2 linked regions of the Caenorhabditis elegans genome follow. The protein of the gene in region 1 interacts with the protein of each later gene in a biochemical or structural test. Each region holds a gene or a part of one and is shown on either strand. Other genes may lie near its edges.

Region 1 (8,799 bases):
TAAAAAACAGGAAAAACACCTATATTTTAAAAAATCGTGAGAAAAATTCCACGGAAACGAGAATTTCAAAAGTGACAGTACTCTTTTAAAGGCGCACACCCTTTCGCATTAAACAAAGTGTCGCGTCGAGACCCGGCACCGTATTTTTGGTACAAAAATCGCAAAATTTCGAGTTCCCAACCAACCATCGTCGTCTCCACTAGCTCCTTGGCTTTTTTGATTTTCAGCAAATTTTCAGATTTTTCGCTTTCCCTCCGGAAAACTGTGGCTCCCAATGGAACAGCAACAGCGGTGGCACCAAGAAGCATCTTTGGACAGGAAGTGTACCATGACATGCTGGAAATTTTTTTTAATTTTTCCAAGCTCTGCGAGCTAGTGACAAATATTCCAAAGATGAAGCAACAAATGGTTCTAGGTGGCAAAAAATAACTTGAAAAATTAAATTTTTATTTTATGTAACAAGCAAAAAAAAAGAAAAAATTAAGCAATCGACGGAGATGGCGGCTCAATTACTTCGATGAGAGCACTGGCTTCCTCGGCTTCGATGAAAGCGTTCTGAAATAAAATAAATGACTATTACGAAAACTATGAAACATCCCAAAACCTTCACTAAATTACACAAAATATTAGAAGAAGCGTCGTCAGTGGCCTGAAGAAGATGGAGTTGGTATCGTGTAGTTGTGCTTTTTTCGACGAAGACTATGTTGGTTCTGAAATTGTTATTAAAATTACGGTCTCAGGTCTCGAAGCGAACGGAATTTTTTCTTGGTGATTTTCATCTAATTCATAATTAACCAATCGCACCTTCCAAATCCATCGGCATACGTCGTCAAAAGTATCAGCTCGATCAGTGGAATCCTCAGTTTCACTAATCGTGTTCTTCTCGAAGAAATCCGAAGTCCGTGCTTGGTGACCTCCATGTAAACCTTAAAATTCAAAGTTTTAATTATATTTCAACAAAAAACGGGATCTTCTGCGATTTTACACCAAAATTACGGTTTTGGGTCTCATCGCGACAAATTTTTGTTAACTATAAAAAAAATGGTGTGCGCCTTTAAAGACTACTGTAATTTGAAACTTTGTGAGTTTTCACTGATTTTCCAACGATTAATAACTGTTTTCTTGTAAAATATATTTTTTTATCGAAAAACAAAACAAAAAGAAAATCGATACAACAACAAGAATTACACGTTACAGTATTTACTCTTTAAAGGCACACAACCCTTTGCAAATAACTGTGTCGTGTCGAGACCGACAAAAATTCTGCGTTTGTGTAATATTCCCAACCTCCTCATGAGAATCCCCGTTGTTTTTCGGTAATTTCCCTAAAAGTTGGCTATTTTCCAAGTGCTCAACAATTTTTTCCTCGAGAGATCGACTGCAAGACGTTCCATTTTGAATTAGAGAATTTATCTGGAAAATTAAATGTTTTTTTTCTGAAGAAAACCTAGTAAACTTTAAAAAATTCCTTACCTCTTGAACTGCCACGTATAATGCTGAAATTTTCGGGTCTGTCATTTTTTTTTTTGAAAAATGTTCAAGCGAGTTTCTGGCGTCATAATGTTTGCGGAGGACTCCCAACTGATAAAAACCTTCCCCATTTGAAGTGCTGGCGGTGGCCTAGAAATCTCAATGAAATAAGCAGAGTTTTATTTTCAAGTAAAGGACAAGAAAAAATCAATAAAAAAGATTTTATCGTTGAGCGGGTGGGGTGTTCGTCACACTTGAACCAGTAGTCTCGTCGGCGATTAGTTGACTGTTGAAACGAAAAGCATGAGGAGTTGCAATTGTCGAATTTTGGAAATTAAGAGTTGTATTGTCACGGAATGGGGTGCGCTGAAATTTGAACAAATTAAAATATTTTTTTGAGTTGAAACAGTTCGGAAAAATGCTCAAAAATTGTGTGAAAATTGGAAATTGCCGGAAAAATCGATAATGTAGCTCATTTCGTAGAACTTCTACTAACCGAGTTCAAATTAGCTCCATATGGAGTGTGGGGTCCAAGAACAGGCTTGAATGATGGTGTAAGCCTATTTGTTAGTCCGGTCTGAAGCCCGGGAAGCCCAGAAGGAGCTGGACTAAACCGTTGGGCTCGGTAATGGGCAATTTTTTCTTTAAGATTCTCATTCTCCATGCTCAGCTTCTCAAAACTATCCATATTCTCGGCGGCCTTTAATTTCTCGTTCTCCAGCTCCTTCCTCAAGATTCCAATAGTTTCAGTGAGACTCTCAACCATCGAATCTTTTTCCTTCAAATCAGCTTCCAGCTCTCCTAGTTTTCTCATATCCAGACTTTGTTGATTCTGTTGTTGGGAGTTTCGCTTCAACAGCTGATCGGCCTTCTCCAGGTTCCGTTGAGCCGTGCCAAGTTCTGCTCGAAGCTTCCCAATTTCTTTCTGATGAGCCACATTTCGTTTCTGAAGCTGATCCACTTTTCCTTGTTCTTCTCTCAACATATTTCCAACAATCTCCAGCTCCTCCTGATTTTCTTCCAATTGCTTTTGCAGCGACTCCGTGTCTTGTTTCAAATCAGCCACTTCATCTTCTTTATCCTCAACTAATAATCGAATATTCTCTCTTTCCTCTTTCACCAGCTCCACCTCATCTTCCAGCTCTTTAAACTTTTCTGACATTTCTTCGAATTCCTCCTTCACACCAGACAGTTTTTCAACTTGTTTTTCCAAATCTCCACATTTCTGCCGTAGGCTTGCTAGCTCATCTGCAGATTTATAAAAAGTGGAGAGTTTCACTGCTTGACTGGAACAAATTTTCAGAAGATGTGAAATTAAATGATCTCCGCGGACTGCGTGAAGCTTGATGGAAAAGATTTTTCCTTTCGAAATAGGAGTCTTCGAGAATAGCTCAAATCTGGAAGAAAATAAAAAATTAAATTTCAATATTAGGTAATCTATTTCCCTTACGAGCAAAAATTCTTCTCGGCATCCAAAATAATATTGATTTCCGTCGGCTTTCCTGGATCAGCAATACTATGATAACCTGCTTTTTTCCGTGCATCAACCTCCCCATCTTCTTCCAAATTTTTCACAATATTTTTACATAACAAGTGTTGAATGATAACTTTCGGAAAAGCATCGAAATCCACTGTTAAATCGTGATCTCGAGCCAAAATCTGATATTTCTCGTTGTTCAACGTTTCCGAGAATAGAAATTCAAAATCATCGGAGCGGCTGATTTCGAATTTTAGCTCCTTTTCTCCACTGGTTTCGTTCCTTTGCTCTGATATTTTCAGCTTAACTTTTGTTTTGTATGCCCTGAAATTCTGTTACTTTTGAAAATCGTTTGCTCCCTTTTCTTACTTAAAATCCGGTTGATTTAGGCTCAACGGCTGTAGAAGTGAGGCGATGAGTGTTTGATCGAATAATGCAATTTTGCTAGTCATTTTTGTGGGAGAAAATCTGAAAAAAATTATGTTAAAAATAGGAAAAAACAGCAGAAAATGAAGAATAAAAAATTTGCGCAAAAACAATAAATTTGAGATGGCGCGCTCTATGGGACTACGGTGTGCGATTGCGGACTTGGCAATTGCGGACAAAACATTGTAAACTACGCCTAACAAAAAATCGCATTTTCTTTTTTTTTTCACAAACTAAAATTCCCCATTTCAGCCCATTTTCCGTCAAATTTTCACATTTTTGAAGATTTAATAAGGGAAAATAGAGAGTTTCCCGCATTTTCAATCATTTCTACAATCCTACGTCGTTTTTTTCTTGTGTGAGCCACTTATCCCGTTTTTTAACAATTTATCTCATTTTTCAGCTTTTTCAGCTTTTCCAGCAAATGAAGCGCATCCAGTCGGAGCTCTTTGCTCCTTATCGATTCTTGGGTGTGGTAACCGGTGATGTAAGCTTTTTTTCCGAATCTGAAGTGAAATTACTTATTTTTTCCAGGTCGCCCCGTCAATTCGTTCAACATTTGTCGCAAAAAAGTCGGCATTGTCAGTTTTGTGCCCAATTGATAATGTAATCATGCAATACAATGGAAAAAAGCTTCGTGCGATTGGAATGTCGGAACCTTTAAGCGATAAAGTGTCAGCAGTCGCGTCTTCTAGCACGTAAGCGGTTTAGAAAAATGCAAAAATAATTATATATCATTTCAGGAGCGTGTTCGCTGCTCACGGAACCAACATTACTTCTCTAGCATTCTGCAGAGATATCAAAGATTCCATCGACTTGGGCGCCAAGATCAAAATCATGACATTAATCGGAACTCAGCTGATCGCAGTTGATATTTCTTCTGGAATCCACGTCATTGATACATCAGAAGGAGGCCTTCAAATGAGCCTATTGATGGAAGGATCCGACGATTTTGAAATAACGGCAATCTGTCACCCATCCACGTATTTGAATAAAATCGTGGTCGGCAGTAGCACTGGTCGAATGAAAATTATCAATTTCCGAACTGGAAAAGTGATTCATGAGTTCCAGCGAAGTTTCGACTCGAGAATCACAATTATCGAGCAAACTACTGCCTTAGATGTGGTAGTTGTAGGGCTGGAAAATGGTGAAGTGATGCTTTTCAATGTGAAAATGGATAAGATCATCACATCGTTCCGACATGACGCAAAGATCACTAATGTCGCTTTTCGGTGGGTTGTGTTTTAAATTGAAAAATATTATTTAAAAAAATTATTTCCAATATTTTCAGTGACGACGGCGAATCAACAATGGTAACTGCCGATAAGAACGGAACAATGGCTGTGTGGGATCTCGAGAAGCAGGAATTAATCGGAAAAATCACGGGAATTCACTCTGACGAGATTAATTGTCTCTATTTTGTTCCAGGGGAGCCTATCATGGTAATTTCCTGTTAAAGGTGGAGTGCGCCCAGTGGGAAAATTGCTTCAAAACACGCCTATGGGGTCACAATGACCGAATATCATGATAAAAAATTCAAAAAATTTTTCCTGATTTTATATGATTTTTTGAAATTTGAAAAAATCTCAGTTTTCTCCTAATTCCTATTTGAATTTCCGCCAATTGGAATCGTTCGATGGAGCGCACTTGCCTTATTTTTATCAATTTATTTTATTTTTTCTCATTATTTCACTGATTTTCTCCATTATTTGTGTATATATTTATCGGAAAGAGAAGTAAAAAAGCAAGATTAATGCAAAATGTTTGTTTAAAAGTGATTAAAAATGCGTAAAACTGTAAAATTATGATTTCCGACGACAACAACAAGATTTTTTAAAAAACACTTTGCATTTATCGTGAATTTTTCTCTCTTTTTCCGAAAAAAATACACAAATAATAAAGAAAATCAGCCGAAAAATGAGAAAAAAATAAAATAAATTAATAAAAATAATGCAAGTGTGCTCCATCGAACCATTACAATTGGCGGAAATTCAAATAGGAAATAGGGGGAAAACTGAGATTTTTTCAATTTTCAAAAAATCATGTAAAATCAGGAAAAATTTTTTGAATTTTTTTATCATGATATTCGGTCATTGTGACCCCATAGGCATGTTTTGAAGAAATTTCCCCACTGGGCGCACTCCACCTTTAAATTCCGAAGAAAAGGTTAAAATTCAATTTTTTCCAGCTCTCCGCTTCACTGGATAACTCTCTGCGTCTCTGGATTTTCGACAGTGCAGATGGAATGCCACGTGAACTTGTCCGCCTGGAAGGACACTCGAAACCATGTGCCAGTATCAAATTTGTTGGAAAAGATCACGTTTTGTCGGCCGGAAAAGATGGATCCATTCGAAAATACGATGTTTCTTCGTTGACAATGAGACAGAAGCTTGGCACAGTTGGACAGGGTGTTAAATTGAATAAAGAAGTTCAAAATGTAGCTGAAATGGCGTTTGGATGGCAACGAGAAGCTGCATGGAATAATGTGTTTTGCAGACAAGTGTACGGGAAACGCTTACTTAATATGTGCCAAAAAGAACGAAATTCCCGGAAAATTGACTCAATTTTGGCTAAAATCTCCAATTTTGTCAACTTTTCCGGTTGGAAATTACCTTTTTTTTCGATTTACACCTTTATTGCATTTTTTTATCGTTTATCTCACATTTTTGGTTTATTAGGGTACACTCAAAGGTGGAGTAGAGTCAAAAATCAACCGTAATGACAATTATAACTGTTAAAAAGTTAAAAAAAAATATATATATAGTCACAGTATCTTTCGGCTAATTTCCTTTAAATAACGAAAATTGACCGAAAGTAACTGTAAATATATTTATTTTTTAAAAGTTTTTTACAGTTATAATTGTCATTATGTTTGATTTTTGATTGTACTCCATTTAAATGCATCTTAAATAGCGAAATAACGTGATAAAAACTATCAAACAATAGCAATAAAGGAAAATAAAATTCAATAAAAATTTAATTTCCGGCTGTTGTGACACGGAAAAGTAGGCAAAATCTGAGATTTTAGGTGAACTTAAGCCATTTTTAAAGGTTGAGTACCGAAATCTGAGAAATATTTTTTAAATGACTTCAAATTTTCCCCGGCTTCGGAATATCTAAATGAAAAAATTCAAAAAAATTTTCCTGATTTTATATTTCAACTTGAAATCGCATTGCGTCCCCATGAAATTTTTCAAACGCCGAATTTTCGCGCCAGAGACGCCATGTGTCGATTTACGAGATTTGTGTAGATTTTCGAAATTTTTTAATATTTATCAGATGCTGATTTCCGTTTTTCAACGAGTTTCCTTCATTTTCGTCGGTTTTTGCCAAAGTTTTTTTGAAAATGTGTGTTTTTTTTTAAGTCAATTAAACATTGTATTATCAAAAAACTAATAAAATTTTCGATTTCCGTCGAGTTGTGACCTAAAAATTGGAAATTTTGTTAGTTTTTTGATAATATAATGGTTAATTGACTTAAAAAACACATTTTCAAAAAAAAAACTTAACAAAAACCGACGAAAATTAAGGAAACTCGTTGAAAAACAGAAATCAGCATCTGATAAAAATTGAAAATCTCGTAAATATACACAAATCCCGTAAAACGACACATGACGTCTCTGGCGTGAAAATTCGGAGTTTGAAAAATCCCATGGGTGTAGAAGCGATTTCAAGCTGAAATATAAAATCAGCGCAATTTTTTGAATTTTTTGAATTTAGATATTCGGAATCAGGGGAAAATTTGGAGTAATTTAAAAATATTTCTCTTTTATGATTTCGATACTCAACTTTAAAGGAATTTTTCAAAAGTTTCATTTTAAAAAATTATTTATTTGAGCAATTTTTGAGCACACTTTTAGTCTCCACAAGCAAAAACCTCCTATATATTTCCAGCTTCTAATGTTTCCTTCCTATTCCAGAAATGACACAAAAATCACCACATGGCAAACGAGAAACAACACCTCTGGAGCATTTACACTGGAGCATGATCGTTTCAAGAAAAAAGTGGATTTTATTGATGCAAATGCGACTGCTCTCTGCGTATCACCTTGTGGAAATTTCGTATTTATTGGATATTCTACAGGTCATATCGATCAATTTAATGCTCAAAGTGGCCGCCACGTTCATTCATTTACTGCTTCCACCACTGTGAAAAAGAGCAAGAAGTCTAAGAATCCACGAAAAGGTCCCACTAAAACCAACGGCGATATTCACAACGACACTCCGGCTGCCGATTCTCCGATTACATCGCTTTCCGTAGATCAACGTGGAAAAGAGCTAATGAGCACTGATGCTCAAGGTCATATTCTGTTCTGGTCTCTTTCAACGAAGGCTATCAATGCGAAAATGTTCAAAAAAGATGTTAGATTGGGAATTTGTGCACCGTGCCCGTCGAATAGTTTAGTGGCGTTGGTGGCGATTGCTGAGAATGGGAAAGAAAGTGTGATTCTAGTGGATACAGTGTGTCATCGAGTTGCTAGAGCATTTGAGACTGTTGGCAATAAGGTAGGTTGCCGTGAAAAAAAGTTCGATTTTTTCAGGAAAAAAACAAAAAATTCAGGTTTTCCGGAAAATCGAAAAAAAAATCAGAAAAGCACGATGATATTGCATTTTTTAATCAATTTTTTTTAAAAGTTGTTTAAAAAACATTTAAAAACGCTATATATTCCTTTTTTCCCATTTTAACCGGGAAAAAAAAATTTTTATTTTGATTAAAAAACCAAAAAAAGAAAATAAACAGTTTTAAAACTAGTTTTGGCAAAAAAAAAACTCAAAAAAATAACTAATCTTTGCTAGAAAAGCCCGCTTTTCCAACAAAAAAAAAAGATTTTTCCAGCAAAAAAAACCATATTTCGCCAAAAAATGTTTAATAAAATCCATTTTTGGAAAATAAACCAAAAAAATTAATTCTTTGCCATAATGAACCAGAAAATATATTTTTCCCAAAAAAATTATTTAAAAAACCCCAAAAAAAAAAATTTTTTACAAAAAAAATCAGTTTTCCCCAACAAAAAACCATAAAATGGTTCTATTTTTGCTTTTAAGCAACCTAAACAAATTTTTTTTTAACCGTAAAAATCGTAAAAACCAAAAAAACATTTTTGCCAAAATAAATGTCCAAAAACCCAAAGAAAATCTGTTTTTATTTTAAAAAAAAACCCGAAAAGATTTAAAAACCAGAAAAAATATAGAAAAAATAACACAAAAAGCCCCATTTTCCCTTTTAAAAAATCCAATTTTGCCATAAAGACCCAAAAAAATTAATTTTTGTCCAAAAATCTATTTTTTGCAAAAAAAAAATCCGAAAACCCATATTTCGCTAAATAATGTTTAAAAAAAAATCCATTTTTGGAAAAAAAAACCAAAAAAAACCCCATTTTTTCCCGAATAATCCATTTTTGACATAAAAAACCAAAAAAAAAATA
Region 2 (8,799 bases), on another chromosome or scaffold:
TAAACCTGAACTTTATACAGACGTGACCTTTGGGTCATCATGAACTTATCGCGTAAGCGACCTCTCTTTATAATTCATTACTTCTTACACTCTCTTGTAATAAACTTCTTCTCTCCTTGTCACTCGCTCAATACACAACAGTGGCGATCAGGATACTGCTGGAAGTTCGCCAATAAAAGAAACCCATCTGGACCCCCTGCTGGAATCCGATGTTGCGAGTGACGGCGAGCGTTTCCAACCCGGTATTCTCCTTAGTCATTCTCTTCGACAGAGCCACCCACGACAAGTTGTGCGAGGATCAGCCCCAAACACTGATCATGCCTCCACTCGCCGCAGAGGTCGATATACCGCCTCTGGTCGTGATGCCCCTAGCCCAGGCATAATTTCTGGCTTTTTGTCATATAAGAGGGGAGATGTTGTGGACGGAACGTAAACCTGAACTTTATACAGACGTGACCTTTGGGTCATCATGAACTTATCGCGTAAGCGACCTCTCTTTATAATTCATTACTTCTTACACTCTCTTGTAATAAACTTCTTCTCTCCTTGTCACTCGCTCAATACACAACAGTGGCGATCAGGATACTGCTGGAAGTTCGCCAATAAAAGAAACCCATCTGGACCCCCTGCTGGAATCCGATGTTGCGAGTGACGGCGAGCGTTTCCAACCCGGTATTCTCCTTAGTCATTCTCTTCGACAGAGCCACCCACGACAAGTTGTGCGAGGATCAGCCCCAAACACTGATCATGCCTCCACTCGCCGCAGAGGTCGATATACCGCCTCTGGTCGTGATGCCCCTAGCCCAGGCATAATTTCTGGCTTTTTGTCATATAAGAGGGGAGATGTTGTGGACGGAACGTAAACCTGAACTTTATACAGACGTGACCTTTGGGTCATCATGAACTTATCGCCTAAGCGACCTCTCTTTATAATTCATTACTTCTTACACTCTCTTGTAATAAACTTCTTCTCTCCTTGTCACTCGCTCAATACACAACATTTAGTTTCAGTTAGCTCCGAATAGACTTCTTAAAATCCATTTTTCTAGTGAATTGTAACCTGAGTAATTGATACGCTTTTACAATAATTTTTTAAGTTGAAAAAATATTTTTACTGTTTTTGAAGTACTATTTGCATTTAAAAAGTAGGCACCTTCCAGGGACCTGTCACCGAAGCAGGCGTAGCTCGTCCGGAAAGCAACCTACATCTACTTTTCTGCTAATTGTAAGAAATTCATTGTTCCGGCCGTGTGACTACATTTCTCACCACTCGGTCCGAGTTTTCAGATTTTTTTCAAAAAAATTAAAATTTTTCAAAAATCTCCCAGATTGTTTGCCTACTTGTAAACGTTCTGAAAAACATTGAAAGTTTGCAAAAAAAAATTTTGGAGCAATTCTACAGGCCTCCAAAGTAGTGAAAAAATGCACTGGAACAGTTTCAGACTGATGCTAGAGGGGTTGAGAGTGGAGCTTTGCCGCTTAAAAATTTGCAGTGACATATCCTTATGGAACACTTTCAAATGACACATATCTCGTTTAAAAAAAAAACTAAAAACCTTTTTCTTGTCAGTTTAAAAAACGTGACAGAAATGTATGGATTATTATACCACAAAGCTCAGTTACAGCATGATCCCCCACAATTATAAAAACATTTGTTCCGATTGCTTGCAAAATGTTCAATTGATCTAATGTGTTCTTGTTATCTTTGGATTTGATGATTGTTTCTGTTTCATTCAGGAAGTGGAAGGATTGGACAGAAAGATAAAAAATTGTTGTGAAACGGTGTTTTTTGTTGTTTAGAGTATGTCAAAATGGATGCAATTGGTTCTAGTTACTTCCGTGTTGAGTTTGCAAACGAGGTTCAGATAAAGAGAAAAAAGGAAGTATTTCTATAGATATTTTTCTGTAAAATTTTTTACTGGTTATAGATGTGAGTTTGATATTATAGGTGTGGGTCGCAATACTATTAGAGAAAATGGGGTATTATTTTTAGTGATAGATTTTACTTTAAACTAGGGCTGAATAATAAACGAACCTGGTTGTACTTTGATTGAAAACCATACTCTTGACATGGAGACAAATTACAGGATAAATATAACTGAAGTTTTGTAGTTCCCAAAAGGAAAAACGTTGCCTTAATGTATATAAATTATTATTTTTGCATCACATTCAAAATTATTTTTTAGATTATATAAAAAATATTTAAAAGAAATGAGATAAAAATTGTTTATGAGTGGATGATAATACAGTTAAATCATACTTTGAAAATTACCCGAAAAAAAACTACAAAAATGCCAACTCTTAAAAATAACTTGTTTTTCATAATACAGATAATTCCAGGAATTCAAATATCGTCTTATTGGGAAGTTCTTGTTTGATTTCCACAGGTTGCCATACATGAGTTGTAGTTGGGGAAGTTGTTGGCATTTCCGAGAGTTCCATAGAATGAGAAACGCATGCAAGTTGTGTATTTTGGAACCCAGAAGTATTTGTCACTTTTCTCTCCTCCGACAGCAAACTTTCCAGAGTCATATGTCAAGTTGCAAAGATAGTCTGTGAATTTGAAATTTAAGAATAAAACATTTAAACATTTGATGCTTACTGGATGTTGGACAACAGAATGATTGAATACAGTTATGACCCTGTGGGCAAGTATTAGCTCCTGCTGAGCATCTCACTGGTGTCAAGTGGTCAGTGTCATAGGTAGCAGAGCAAGCAGCTTAAAATTTTTAGAATAATTGCCATAGTTACTAGCTAACCTCACTTACACTTCATTTGAACGGTTTCATCACTTGACTCCGAGTCTCTTTGAGCTTGAGCATTGGTACAAGCTGATCTACACTCTTGTGCACTACTGAACCGGTTACTATTACCACCACATCCCTGATACATGAATGGTTGACACGTTCCAAGTCTTGGAAGATAATAGAACATTCTAGAAGAACTGTTCTCAGCGCAAGTATTTCCAGAGTCCCGTGCAGCAAAACAGTCAACAGAAGTCGATTGAGCCGCAGTGAAAGACAATAGGGAGAGAATCTAAATAATAATTACATTTAAATTAACTGAAAGTCGTATGTAGATCTAAAGTAGATCTATTTCTGGATTTAGTAGTTTTTAATTTAACTAAGTTTCAAACCTCATAATTAAAAGGATTTTAAAACTCACCACAGCCAATCTAAGTGCCATTTTAGTTTTGCCACGTGAAAATGTTGTACTCGAGTTCTGGATTTCTTTTAAATAGGCCATCGAGATTCCCGCCCCTTTAAACTATTGTACTGGCAATCGTGTAAGCTCTTGCTACCGTGCAACACCACCAACAGTCAAATCCAAATTCCAGTTTTGATCTGACCCCACGGAGCAAACATTGTGTGTATAATGTACATATACTGTTGGCTCCTTCGCACTGACTTTTTTACCACGCTGATTTATTTTGAGACACTTTTTCTGTGTCTCGCTGTCTATCTGTGTACAGAGGAAAAATTTTCTCGGAATTTTTAGAAAACCAGTCGGGAGTGTTTACTTGTTTTTTAATACTTTTAATACATTGGAAAATTGTGTAGGTTGAGAAGATTTTTTGTTTGAAAATCTGTCAATCTAAATTTGTTCAACTGATCAGGAACATTCTTCTAAATTGCAGATAATATGAGAAAGTAGAAAATTCTGTTGTTTTATAATAATATCATTTAATTTAATTACAATCTTCTTTCGTCCCCGAATGGTCATGCGAAAAGAAATGTGAGAAAATATACAATGTGCGCGCTCATCTTGCAAAAAATGTGCGCGGGGGTTGCAGCAGAGGCCACGCCCCCGCGACACCAACGCGCCAATTTTAAAGAAAAAACGTTTTATTTTCCAATTTCATAGTTTTAACAGAAATGACCTCGCATTAAGCGGGAATGAATAATTACGACGACTTACCCTGCTCTATTTACTTCAAAAAACCAACTGGTGAGTTGTTTTCGATATAAAAGTGTTAAAATTGCCAATTTAGTCCAGGAGTTTGTGGATCAACCGAGAGTCTTCGAAGATTCTGAAGTCCCTGCCTTTCAAGAAGTTCTTCAGCTTCCACAAGAAAGGACAAAACCCCCAGTACCATCTACGCAGCCAATTGTCGCCGCTGTAGAAGTAGCCAAGAAAAAATCGTGTCTTTCGGCTCCGAAACCAAGAAAAGAGCCACCTTCGCATCCAGCGCTTCGCCAAAAAACAGTTGCGTTTGGAAAAACAGTTAACGTTTCCCAAACTGTCGAGGTAATTAAATTAAAATTGTTCCATGGCATAATTCCACTAAATTATCTTTCAGGGAACATCTCGGAATTCAAAAAAAGTGCTTGCTTCAACAATGTCTGCCCAAAATACGACAACGACTGAAGAACAGGCAGCTGAAAACTGGCGGGACGCTATGAAAACAGAACTGCAAACGATACGAACAGAGATTCAAGAAGAAACGGCCCGGCGACAAGAAGAGCTCAATGCTCAAAATCTTGTTAAAATGCAAGAATTGATGTCAAACTTCTTTCAGAGTATGTTTGAATATATATTATCCCATAAATTCAATAAATAATAATTTTTCAGAGATAACGATTCCTAAACAGCAAGCGATCGAACCAGTTGAAAAAGACAAAGAAAATTTTCATGAGAGTCCTCGTCAATCAAGACAGCAGAAGCCAGCTAGTAAAGTGAGAATTCAGATAAAAAATAAATCAAAAAGTACTCCGTTTTAAGATCGCTTCGGCACGAGAAGTTATCAAAAGAGACGGTGTTATACCTCCAGAAGCATTAACAATTATTGAGCAACGCCTTCGCTCGGACCCAATGTTTCGCCAACAAATTGATAATGTTCTAGCAGACGTGAGTAGTGTATTTAAATCCGATAGAAATAGTTTGTTTTCAGGCTGAATGTGATGCTAACAGAGCTGCATATTCTCCACCACCACCAATGTCTGAAGTTAGATACGGATCTGGTGTGAATCCTGCTTTGATGAGAGAAACACTTACGGTAGAACGAAGTATTCGATATGACAACGGACTCGCTTCTATTGATTCTAGACAGTGGACAAATGAGAGACGTGATAATCGTGGTAATTTAATTTTTCAATATTCAAACACAGAATTCGTCCGCTAGAATTGTATAAATATAATAATTCACGCATTCCAAAATGTATCAAATAATTCATTAAAAATGTTTGAAAGTTGATAACCATTCGTAGTGAAAACACTTTATACTACGAAATGATTTTAAGATGAAATCCTCAAATCAGTTGAAAAATTTGAATTAAAAGTCAAAAATGAGAAGTCTCTTCACTATTCAAAAAAACCTTTTCTAGCTCCTGACTCATACCGTACCTACGAACCGGATCAACCATGTCACTCACTCTATCAAAAGGGTCAAAGTATTAGCTATTATCCGTCAGAAGCAGCTGGAAAAACGACAGCTAGAAACAATCGAACTGGATACTACGTGGAAGATTCATCAGATCATGAAGAGGATGTTGTAGTCAATAAACGGGGACAGAACTATCACGAGCAAGCGGTACCTGAGACTCCAGCTGAACGAGAACGCCGTATTCGTGAAAAATACGCTCGCAGGAAATGATATCAAATGTGTTTAACTCTTGACGTTTTAAAATTATCATTAATCACTACGTGTAATGTCTGTGAATTGTACTAAAACCATTACTTCCAGCTGTGACCTGAATAAATTTTGAATTTCATCGATTCTTTCTCATTTGATCATATGATCGAGATAGTCTCGAACTTAATTCGATTTTCAGCACTTCACACTTCTGTCATTGTTTGACAAGTACCAACTTGACCTTTCCATCGGTCTCCTTCAAGAGTTTCATTTGTGTACGAAATAAAAATGAAAATTCTAGTAGTGTACGTGTTAATTGGAGAAGTTCTACGAATTTTTAAACTACAAGTTCATAACTTTTAAAACAAACTGTTATGGCATGTACACATGTGTTCCTGTATTAAAACACTTGCTGTCTTCAGACTTTCCAATTGAAAAGATACACTTTCACTTGATTTTCCATATGCAAGCAAGCGTTTTGAACTATCACTACCTTTCTCTATTTTTGATTTCTCTTCCTGTTGACTTTTGCACCCGAATTTTTTGAATTTCTTTTGTCAAAATCTAGTAAATATTGACATTGATTATTTATAGAGAGTAGGTGGAAAATTAGAAAATATAAAAGATTAGGTGTGTCTTGTTCATCTTTGCAAATTTGTTTTTTGGCATTTTCAAAAAGTTCGAGAGAGCACCCAGATGTTTGGACTTCAACTGTTCCATTGTACTCTCCCCATTTATAAACTCTGCGATTTTTCCCATTTCTCTCTAAACACTGATACCACAGTTTTATCAGGATTTTCTTTTAAAAATTTAATTTAAAAAAAAAAAAACATTTAACCCATTTATCTACAGAAATGCGATTCCACCTGTTAGTCTGTGTACTTCTTGTTCCTGTATTCAGCTTTGATTGTACTCAACCAAAGGATAGTGGTAATGTATGTAGTGGAAGCCAAGCAGAAAGATCTTTTTATTTTGATACCAGAATGAGTAAGTTAACGTTTTGAATAATATTTTGTTCGTAACTAGAATTTATACTTTTAAATAATAAGCAATTTTTAACATTTAAATTCTCGAAATTTCAAGAACTCGTTTAGGGTAGCGCTTTTTGAAAATTTTTCGTATCGTAAGTTCACTAGATTTTGGCATGCCTTATTAAAGGCGCACGGATATATACAGGCGGATCTCGGCGCCCAAAAAGTTGATGGTAGTATTTTTTATTATACTTTGAAAACTCATTTGAGACAATTCGAACAGAAAAATAAAACGAATACCATGAAATTCGCTAAAAACAGAGTAATTTAATTGAAAACTTTTTTTGCTAGCCGAGGCAAAAAATCTCTGCGCCTTTAACAAGGCATATCAAAATCTGGTAAAATTACAATTATATCATGAAATCTTGTCTAAAAATAACGTTTCAGAAAACTGCCAAACTAATTAATAATTAAATTAAAAATTAGGGCACCCTAGACTTTTCTTACAGTAAGAGAGAATGTATTAAACTTTGCCACAAAAAGTGTCGTCATCTCTCGTACCAGTCTTAAAATCATGAAGAATGATTTTTGATCAGGAACTTTTTTGATTTCAAAAGTAAATGTAAAACTAGAAAGTTGAAATGATAATGAACCCTTCAAAATGACAGTGATAATTACATTGTATAATTTCAGAAGTATGTCAACCATTCCTGTATTCTGGTTGTGGTGGAAATGAAAATAGGTTTTCAACATCGAAAGAATGTAGAGATGCCTGTCAAAATAAGAAATCATCTTCAACAACCGAATCTCCAGATACTATATCTGATGATTCCGCTGATCAATCCGGCTCACCAAACTCTCCACCATTTGTACCACAAGGAGATGGGCACGATCAATGGAGAAAAGCAGATATTTGTGGTTCAAACTATTTGATTCCAAATGGAAAATATATCACTTGCTCTCCAAATCAAGCTTGCCCAAAATTCCATTCATGTGTTAACGGAGCATGTTGCCCTTCAAAAGACTACGTTTGCTCTTTAAGAGATGATAATGGAAGTTTTATGGACGGAGTTGAAGATCGTCCAAGATTCTCATGGAATAATGATGTTCATAGTTGTACTAGATGGAGTTATTATGGAGCAAATGGAAATTATAATAATTTCCCAAATTTTCAGTCTTGTATGAAATTTTGTCAAGATTCTAAGAAAATTGATTTGTAATCAGATTTTTATGTCGATGTTTATAGCTTTCCGAATTATCAATGCTTAGCTTGACTTGTCACCATTATCAGTTATCAATTCAATTGTATCAGTTCTATATGAAAATCTCATCATTCGAGAAACGAAAACCTGATAATATTATCATGTTGAGATGTATTTTATCTTTTGTATCCGTTCATCTTCTGTTAGCTTTAAAACTGTATTGTCGAATGAATGAAAAATCGGGTGATTGATTTGATCTGTATATCGTCTCTACAGTGTTCTGATCTGTTTCAGTTTGGCAAATAAGATCAATAACGTCACTTCTTGTCGTGATTTGTGATCTGATCTGTTGATAAGAACTGCAAACTGATTGTGATAAGAGTTGAAAAAGATGCATTCCATTGTGACTTTTGATAAACTTTAGTTTTCTGTATGACCTTCCCAGTGTGGAGAAAAAAAAGAAACGAGGAAGATAGATATCTGTTTGTTGTGTTCATTTTAGACTCATGATGCAAAAAAAACATTCTTCCTTGTTCGGTTTGAGAGTAAGAAATATTTTCGTTTGATCATGATATCTGGTATGAGTAACCGGTCTTCGATGACTTCCCCTAGGAGATGTGTCTAAAGTTTTGATATAGTGGATAAAAGCATAGAACACAAATCCGACTATGTTTCATTGATAAACTGTAGTTTTAAATTTCTTCGAGAATAAAATATACACCTAATTAAGAAGAACTTAACAAAAATCAGAAAAATGTTTCAAAAACTATCAGCGATCACTGAATGGAAAAGTTAACTGTACCCAATGCTCTTTGAACTTCCGAACTAACAAGGTAGCTTAACTCGCTTCAAAGGCGAATTAGCGTGCCGCGAAGAAAACTATCAATGACGCCCCAGGAATAACGGCAAATATGGAACGTGTCGGAAGCGTTCCATGCAAGGGACGTCTACCTTGTAAAAAACATCCGCAGCGGATGTTTTTTGCCTGTATGATATTTTTAATAAACATTTTGAACCTAAAATTTCGTAAAAAGCGAAACACTTTCACCAGTGA

What was found.
Region 2: the proteins of sas-6 (region 1) and sas-5 are reported together in a solved structure, tested with the Caenorhabditis elegans proteins (one study listed by BioGRID).

The regions. Positions count from the first base shown.
Region 1 is NC_003282.8:13,785,311-13,794,109, forward strand, and holds sas-6 (Spindle assembly abnormal protein 6), read right to left. Parts: upstream 3,422-8,799; 5' UTR 3,400-3,421; coding exon 3,317-3,399; intron 3,272-3,316; coding exon 2,921-3,271; intron 2,868-2,920; coding exon 1,967-2,867; intron 1,837-1,966; coding exon 1,693-1,836; 3' UTR 1,635-1,692; downstream 1-1,634. Other genes in the region: lact-9 (Beta-lactamase-related domain-containing protein), read right to left, coding at 186-335; icap-1 (Integrin Cytoplasmic domain-Associated Protein homolog), read right to left, coding at 481-555, 605-710, 805-926, 1,288-1,413, 1,474-1,518; Y45F10D.7 (Small-subunit processome Utp21 domain-containing protein), read left to right, coding at 3,798-3,860, 3,908-4,071, 4,117-4,605, 4,665-4,815, 5,562-5,875, 7,294-7,879. UniProt on the Caenorhabditis elegans protein: Central scaffolding component of the centrioles ensuring their 9-fold symmetry. Required for centrosome biogenesis and duplication.
Region 2 is NC_003283.11:11,606,883-11,615,681, forward strand, and holds sas-5 (Spindle assembly abnormal protein 5), read left to right. Parts: upstream 1-3,854; 5' UTR 3,855-3,896; coding exon 3,897-3,948; intron 3,949-3,991; coding exon 3,992-4,248; intron 4,249-4,300; coding exon 4,301-4,520; intron 4,521-4,572; coding exon 4,573-4,676; intron 4,677-4,722; coding exon 4,723-4,848; intron 4,849-4,891; coding exon 4,892-5,078; intron 5,079-5,324; coding exon 5,325-5,593; 3' UTR 5,594-5,714; downstream 5,715-8,799. Other genes in the region: piit-1 (BPTI/Kunitz inhibitor domain-containing protein), read right to left, coding at 2,357-2,553, 2,603-2,719, 2,769-3,036, 3,166-3,186; tag-290 (BPTI/Kunitz inhibitor domain-containing protein), read left to right, coding at 6,427-6,559, 7,237-7,763.